Mus musculus: one gene and its partner. The protein of the gene in region 1 purifies or fractionates together with the protein of each later gene. This does not show direct contact. Links are inferred from orthologs where the notes say so. Each region holds a gene or a part of one and is shown on either strand. Other genes may lie near its edges. The genes, in order: Iars and Lars.

Evidence for each region.
Region 2: the proteins of Iars (region 1) and Lars purify together in Homo sapiens (affinity purification with mass spectrometry; 7 studies listed by BioGRID and IntAct, counting the BioPlex papers as one, with this or other methods). This does not show direct contact. The link is inferred for Mus musculus from reciprocal best matches to the Homo sapiens genes IARS1 and LARS1.

What each region holds. Positions count from the first base shown.
Region 1 is NC_000079.6:49,723,536-49,727,349, reverse strand, and holds part of Iars (isoleucine--tRNA ligase, cytoplasmic), read right to left. Parts: intron 2,733-3,814; coding exon 2,558-2,732; intron 2,130-2,557; coding exon 2,017-2,129; intron 1,192-2,016; coding exon 1,096-1,191; intron 224-1,095; coding exon 47-223; intron 1-46. UniProt on the Homo sapiens protein: Catalyzes the specific attachment of an amino acid to its cognate tRNA in a 2 step reaction: the amino acid (AA) is first activated by ATP to form AA-AMP and then transferred to the acceptor end of the tRNA.
Region 2 is NC_000084.6:42,227,438-42,231,251, forward strand, and holds part of Lars (leucine--tRNA ligase, cytoplasmic), read right to left. Parts: intron 2,591-3,814; coding exon 2,505-2,590; intron 2,420-2,504; coding exon 2,354-2,419; intron 2,275-2,353; coding exon 2,192-2,274; intron 1,360-2,191; coding exon 1,221-1,359; intron 782-1,220; coding exon 569-781; intron 1-568. UniProt on the Homo sapiens protein: Aminoacyl-tRNA synthetase that catalyzes the specific attachment of leucine to its cognate tRNA (tRNA(Leu)).

The DNA of each region.
Region 1 (3,814 bases):
TGAATGTAAAGCAAACTTCAATATTTCCACACAACTCAGAACTCACCTGTGTTTGCTCTTGAATAAGGATATTATCTGATGTTGGAACTGGATATGGCTTCAAGGGAGCTTTGATTGTGGCAAATATGAAGTCAGTGTGGCTTTCAATGACATTATTCAAGTATCTTCCTTCAGATTTTGCATTATAGTAAACTGTTATTTCATCCGTTGGAACCAGATTGCACTAAAATAGCATACAGAAAAACTTAGAAGAGAAGCGCACTTGTTTACCAAACTAAAGGTCCTGCTGAATGAGAGCAAGTGTGTGCTGAGCTGTCATTCCCCTAAGGATACGTGTGAGTCTGGCATCCACTCTTCTGTGTTCTTTTACCCACTTCTCCCTATGGGGTAGCAGGCAGAATGTCTTTTCCTAGTGCAGTCGGCACCCTGTGAGTGCTGAGATAAAAGCTTAGCAAAGCTAACTGCAGAGCCCTGAACCAGGACAAAAGTGCCTGCCGCCTGCAGCAGTGCCCTCCTCAGACGAGAACCACGTGCCCTGAGCACCCATGCTGCTCTCCAGTTCACAGGTCCCTAGGAGTAAGCTTTCTGACTCTCAGACCTTGGAGACTCAGTGATGCCTTTTCCTGCAGGTCAAGGCTGCATGCACCTTGTTCATCTGTCCTAACAAGGAATATCACCTCAGTCTATACAGATCCAGCGATCTCTCTCCTCAGCTAAGAACCCTCCAAACTGACTTCTGTCTTACTTGGACACACTCTATCATCTCTGGTTACCCTCTGTAGCAGCAGAGAGTGATCTTTCTGGAAGATAATTCTGTAGCAGCCTTGTGGAAGCCCAAGGGAATGGAAGAAGGATGGATGGGCTAAAGCCCTTGGTCAGAGAAAGTGAGCGATACCAGGCCAGGAGTGGGTAGAGAAGGAGGGAGGGGCCTGCCTTCCCTGCGGAGTATAATCAGAGGGACCACGGATTAATGAATCATTACCACCAACTGATAACTATGGTTTATACTGCCTGCCTCGTCTCTCTTCCCCAACGTTCTAAATAAATCCAGTACAAACCCAAAGCCACAGCACGGCCCTGAAGAAACCGACTGACCTTCTTTCGAAGCTTCTGGATGCGATTGATGACTTCCCGAGCCATGCCCTCATCCACCATTGACTGGTCAGGTGTGACATCTAAGAGAACTAGAGCCTGCAGAAAGAACAGAGCGCATGGCAATGGAATAATATCGGGTCCTTCTAACTCCCTCGGTGAACTGCAGCTAGGACTGGCAGGTGGGACAGAGACAGGCGGCCTACAGATTGATCCCTGGAATTGACAGAGTCCTGCCATTTGTCCTCTGACCTACACACACACACACACACACACACACACACGCACGCACGCACGCACGCACGCACGCACGCACGCACGCACGCACACACGCACGCTGTGGCACCTGCACCCTCATACCCACGCATGTGAGACTAAGACATACATGTTTAAAAAAGACAAGGTCTTTTTAAAAAGTAGTTCCGACTGCAGAGATGGCTCAGCACACAGTGATCTTGCAAGACTCGGGCTGAGTTTCCAGGACCCCCATGGAGGCTCACGACCTTCCATATGTTTTCTAGGGTTAATTTTGGTGCAACCCAGTAACTAGGACAATAATCCTCTAGAACAAATCACGAAATGCTCACTTAAGCATCTGATAAACAAATTCAAAGGGTCAGGATCCACACAGCAGATCAAGAGAGCAGCTCAACAGGGAATGGACCGATGCGAGGCAGGTTAAAATATGTGCCCCCCACGTTCTCCTCTGCTGGTGAAAAATATTCTAGGAGGCTGGAGATGACGTCACAAGCCTGCAATCCCTGTACTCCCCAGAGGTGGAGGGAGGAGTTCCAGGACATTCTCAGCTACACAGTGAGTCCAAGGCCAGAGGAACTACATGACCTGGTCTCAAAAACATCAATCAATCAATCAATCAATCAATCAATCAATCAACCAATCAACTTTGAAGGAACACAAAAATACCTGAGCATCAGAGTGTGCTTCAAACTGCGCGGTCCCTCCCGTGGCCTGGTCAAAGGTGTACATGAGGCGAATGTCTTCCTCATGCAGTTCGTGGCCTTCCACAACAATGCTCCCTGTGGGAAAGGCAGACTGTCAGCGTGCCGTGCCCTCCCTTGATGACCCTGGCATTCTGCTGCCTACCAAGGGTTGGTGCAAGTGAAATGAGGGGACAGCGTGAGGTGCTGGGTACTGTGTGTCTGCCAGGGGCAAGCAGGAGGAAGTGTGGAGAGCTGTTGATGGGTGACGTCCTTTAGGAAAGCCCACTGTAGCCACTGTGCTAAGGCTGACTCTAGAAGTATATAGAACTGGAGGGAAATCAGGCAGATTATAACAGGACACCAGCACCCCGAGGCTGCAATAGCAAGGTGGGATACCAAGCACCTGTCTAGGAAAGTCACTGGTATTTACAGCTGAGTTCTTATGAACAGGATGAAGGAAGGGATGAAAACATTGCTTAAAGATGAAGTGGTCCTCGGGCGAGGACACGGAGGCGGACACCCACCGCTCTTCTGAAACCGCTCCAGCTCCTCATTGCTCAGCCGCTTTATGGCCATCATCACCGCTTTGAAGGCCCCCTTCAGGCGCTTCCCAAGGACCATGTGATCTGGTTCAGCCCTTAGTCGGATACCGTACTTGTTTTTATCAGTAGACAGCGTGACTTTTCGAACATTTAATTCCTACAGCGAGTACCAAAGGAAAAGCGAAACTGTGAGGCACAGAAATCTGTTTCACATTGGACATGCAGTCGAACATCCATACCAGCGCTATTCACAGGAGGCAAAGAGCAGATATAACCCAAATGCCAGTCAACCACTGAATGGGTGGGGCTGTGATGTGCACATCTGTGATCAAGGCATCAAGGCACATAAATGCTTGCCTGGAATGTGCAAGGCCCTGGTTTGGATCCCCAGTACCACACAGAGAACAAAGCAGGTGTGACTAGGTAAAAATAAAGCATGGTTTATACACACACTGGAGTGTTTAGCAAGATAAAAGAATTATGTGAATGAACTGTACAAACATGACGCTGAGCAACACAAGCCACACACAGTAGATGACAAACTGTTCTTTATGAAATGTCTAAAGAAGGCAAATCCACAGGCAGAAAATATATTTGTGATTACCAGTCGACGATCAGATTGTAGCGAATGATGAGGGAGATTAGCCTTCCTTTTAGATAGAGGGGAACGGTCTATGAGTCTGACACTAGGTGCAACTCCACAACTACATCTAGAATACCATCTGGGATGGCACAGAAATGCAATGCTCTTGTCGAGACCAATCAAGTGAGTTGAACATCACTAAAAGAAGCCAAGGTTGGTACTGGTGCGTGCCTTTAATCTCAGCATTCATAGCACAGAGGCAGGAGATCTCTGTGAGTTCAACCTGGTTTACATGGAGACCCTGTCTCAAAACAAAAACTAAAAATAAAGGGGTGGGGTGGGCCCTGAAATATAAATTCATCTCTCAAGGGCACACTTACACAAGCAATCCTGAGCACTATCATTACCATTTAACCAAGTGTGAAATCACATTACTTCATGCCACTGTGCTAGTGACATATTTCCACTAAACAGGGAACATTTGCTTTGATCCCAGCACACAGAAGGCTAAGACAGGAGAACTGAGTCTAAGACTAGCCTAAGCTACAAAGTGAGGCCCTGTCCTGACACCTCTCAAAGGCTACATATATAAATATATGTATGCATAAATGTGTAAAATCTTGGGAACCTTTCTCAGAGGGCAAATGAAATCCTGG
Region 2 (3,814 bases), on another chromosome or scaffold:
TCGAAGTTCTAGGGCTCAGAAACAGGACTTGACTCATCCCACAGATGTGCTCCCTGTGCTGTGCTCCTGTTTTCAACAAGAAGCAACTGAAAAGAACCCAAGTTATGGAAACAAGATCAGGAAGATCTTGAAAATATGCAATTATGCAAAAGAAACAGAGAGCACATATACCTTTGCATGAATATAAATACAGAGCTTCCAGTTCTCAGAATATGTATGAACATTTGTTTCTTTTGAAGGAGAAGCAAAGGAGAGTGGACTAAGTGCAGTGGTGGGTGAAAGGTCACGAGCACCCTGTTATCAGCACACACTGCATTATGCACTCTACAACCTATCTTAAGACTGCTGCACTCCTGCACCGAGCAGACCAGTGCCCTTGATAACCTGAAATATACATCGCATACTCTTTAGGCTGTTGACATGTGACAGGGAGAAGCACACATTCCATATTAATGCACACCGTAACAAATCCAACTAACCCTTCCATAGCCATCCCTTAAGATGCTTGAAGCCTTAAGGCATCCTTACTGACTATCAATAAACGAACCTCACCAGACTTGAGCATTACCTTTGCTCTGGCCACATGGCCACATGGTTGTAAATGTAATATGAAAGATGATTTGGAATCAGATCCTTGCCAGAGGCTCGAAGGTCCACTGGGTACCAAAACTCAAACTCCTGCTTCAACTGATCCAGCTTCTCCTTTGGGATCTGAGTCTTAGGAAATGGAGCATCCTTGAAGAACACATAATCCCAAACGTCCTTTGTCATCTGCTGGGGTCTGCATTGAAATTAAGTAAACAAATGCACTGTTATAGTGAAAGAATCAGAATTTCCACCTAATCATGTGTTAAAATTTCAATTAGTTACACTATCAAACAAGAACATCAGATCCCCTGAGAACAAGAAGGCATGATGCACAGGAGGAGCGACTTAGTCATCTTCCTCAGTTGTACAGTAGAAAAGTGAACTATAACAAAAGACTGCTAACCAAGCTCTTTTCTTTAAAGGCAGAATCGCACTACGTAGACCAAGCTGTCCTTCAACTCACAGAGAATGGCCTATCTCTGCCTGCTACATACTGAGATTAAAAGTGAATGCCTCTTGCTAGCCAAATTCTTGAGAAAAGTAAACGTGAAAGAACCAATTTCTAAATATGTAAGCCAAGATGTTGCAACGTGGGCAGCTGAAGAGCTTCTTTTCCCTAACTATGTACCAACCTGATGCCCAGTGGAGACTCCGCCTGCCCATTCAGGTCACCCCCCTGCAGCAGGTGTGCCACTGTGTAGAACGCCATGTAAATTGTGGAATCCGAGAGAGATTCGATTAACCACTGTTCATCCCAAGGCAGACGAGTGCCTACGAGACAAAAAGAAAAGAATTGATGCTGACTGAAGCTGAGACTCCCCGGCAGAAGCCACATCTCCAAGGCTTCTTATCTAGGACCTTCCCAGGCTGTTCTGGGTGTGGGCTATTGCTATTTTGGTTTGTTTGTGGTACTAGGAATTGAGCCAAGGCTCTGTACATGGTAGGCAAGCACTCGACCATTGAGCTACATCACAACCCTAAGAAGCCCTAAATTCTATAGTTTGTAAAGGTAAAATAAGTAAACAAAACCAAAGCTAACTGAACCGCTGGAGTCCTTTAATAAAAACCTCATATGGCTAGAGAGGGCTCAGTAAGTAAGAACTCTTGCTGCACACACATAAAAACCAGAATTTTGATTGCAGCACCTATGTAAAATCCTGAATCCCTGAGCCCTAGAACTATGGGGAGAGATAGGAGGATCACTGGGGCTCTGTCTGCTAGCCTAGCTCCAGGTTCCACAAAAGACTGTATCAATGAAGTAAGGTGAAAGGTGATCCCTATATAGAGCCAGACATCCTCTACTGGCCTCCACACAGGCACAGGCATACACACCCTGCTCCTAGATGTGCATTTACCTATGCATACACCATAGTCACACGCATACACACAAGGTAAATATATAAACAGATGGTAATATAAAAGCCATGTGGGTCAGAGGCTCTATCGAGCATTAGATGGGTGACTGGGAACCACATCCTGGTCTTCTTTCTCATCCTCTCGCCTAGCAAACACCAGGAGAAAGGGGGAGGGAAGGGGGGAAACAGTGCATTTTCTGTCTATCTAACAAAAATCATTCAAACACAAGTATGAGAAGTTTGCTGACCTAAACCGTACGTTCTTGAGCAAGCATGTTCTTGTAGCCAGTCTAAGGAAGCTTCAAAATTCTTCCTGCTCTCCTCGCAGAATCTAAGAAGAACAAAGGCCAAAATGTATCCTTCCCTTCATCAGCCACACTCCGCACCCCTCTCACTTTCTCCCATCTTACGTTTCCATGTTCTTCAGGCACTGAAATGTCTGTTTCTTCCAGTTCTCATCTCCATAATCCAAGTACCTGGGAGTGAACAAAAGAAGCTCTTCTTAATGTCAGAAATGACCAGAGTGACTCACGCAATTTCCTTGTTACAAGAGGGACTAACCACTGGTCACACAGGGCCACGACGCACTCATCTGCAGACCTCGACATCACTTGTTTTTCTGGCTCCATGTAGATAAGCGCATCTCCCTAAGGGAAGGTAAATAAAGACAGGGCAGATGTCATGTCCAAGCCAGCCTTCCTTCCCCAGGCTGCTGCGACGTGCCTTCCCATGCAGCTGCTGCTTCTGAGCAGAGAATCAACCGGACCACTTTACAAGCTACTCGTCATCCTAGCGCTTTCTAACCTTATGCTTTGAGGGCTGGGCTTCTGAGAGCTTTCCATCTTTGTTATAAAAATACAAAGAAAATTAAAAGAAAAACTAAATAGATACTACTGTTTTTAAAAAGAAAAAATATAGATTAAACATTTTAAAAAATCTTATTATAAACTTTAGAGCTATTACAAATTCAGTTCTAAATAGAAAACTAACTACAACTTACTTAATTTTGGTGTTTTGAGGCAGGGTTTCATTTAGTCCAGGCTAGCTTCACATCTGCTATGTAGTGGAGGGTGATCCTGAACTTCTGCTCCTCCTGCCTCTACCTCCCAAGTACTGAGATAGGTATGCACCACCACATGGGCTCTAATTTTATTTTATTTTTTACTTGATATAAATATCTCCTAATACATTGCAAAGCTAGGATAACTTTTAAAATTCAAATCCTATATTACCACTACCAAAATGACTCACTGCTCCACACTTAAAGTTCAATTCTTCAATATAAACTAAGTAGCTATGCTTTTGGTTTGTAAACAGTAAGTTAGAAATAGACATTACTCCCTCTAAAAATTCTAGCAACTGACAAAAAAGAAGATGAAGAGATGGACTGACTACAAGGACAAGCAGGTGGGGGGAGGGGGAGAAGAAAAGGAAAGGAAAGGAAAGGAAAGGAAAGGAAAGGAAAGGAAAGGAAAGGAAAGGAAAGGAAAAAGGAAAGGAAAGGAAAGGAAAGGCTGAACAAGTGAGAGCTGCTCCAGCAGGGACGAGGCAGGCTGAGGTGGGGTGTGGCTTAGTAGTAGAGAGACTGCAAGAATGTACAAGGCCCTAGGCTGAAGCCCATGTTAAAGAATCAAACAAATGAAGAGAGAAGAAAGCTGGATCAATTTTAAGCAGCAGAAGAAAAAGCTGAGGAGAAACCCCACTTGCACAGGAGATTCTCCAAAGGCTCAGAGATGAGTGGAATGACTCCATTCTGCAAGTGAAAAATGACAACCCTGGAAAGAGAACTGACCAACATCTTAAAAAGTGATTAGAAGCCCTAATACCCTAATGTGCAGCACCCAAATGTGCTGATTGGTTTTTTTATCATC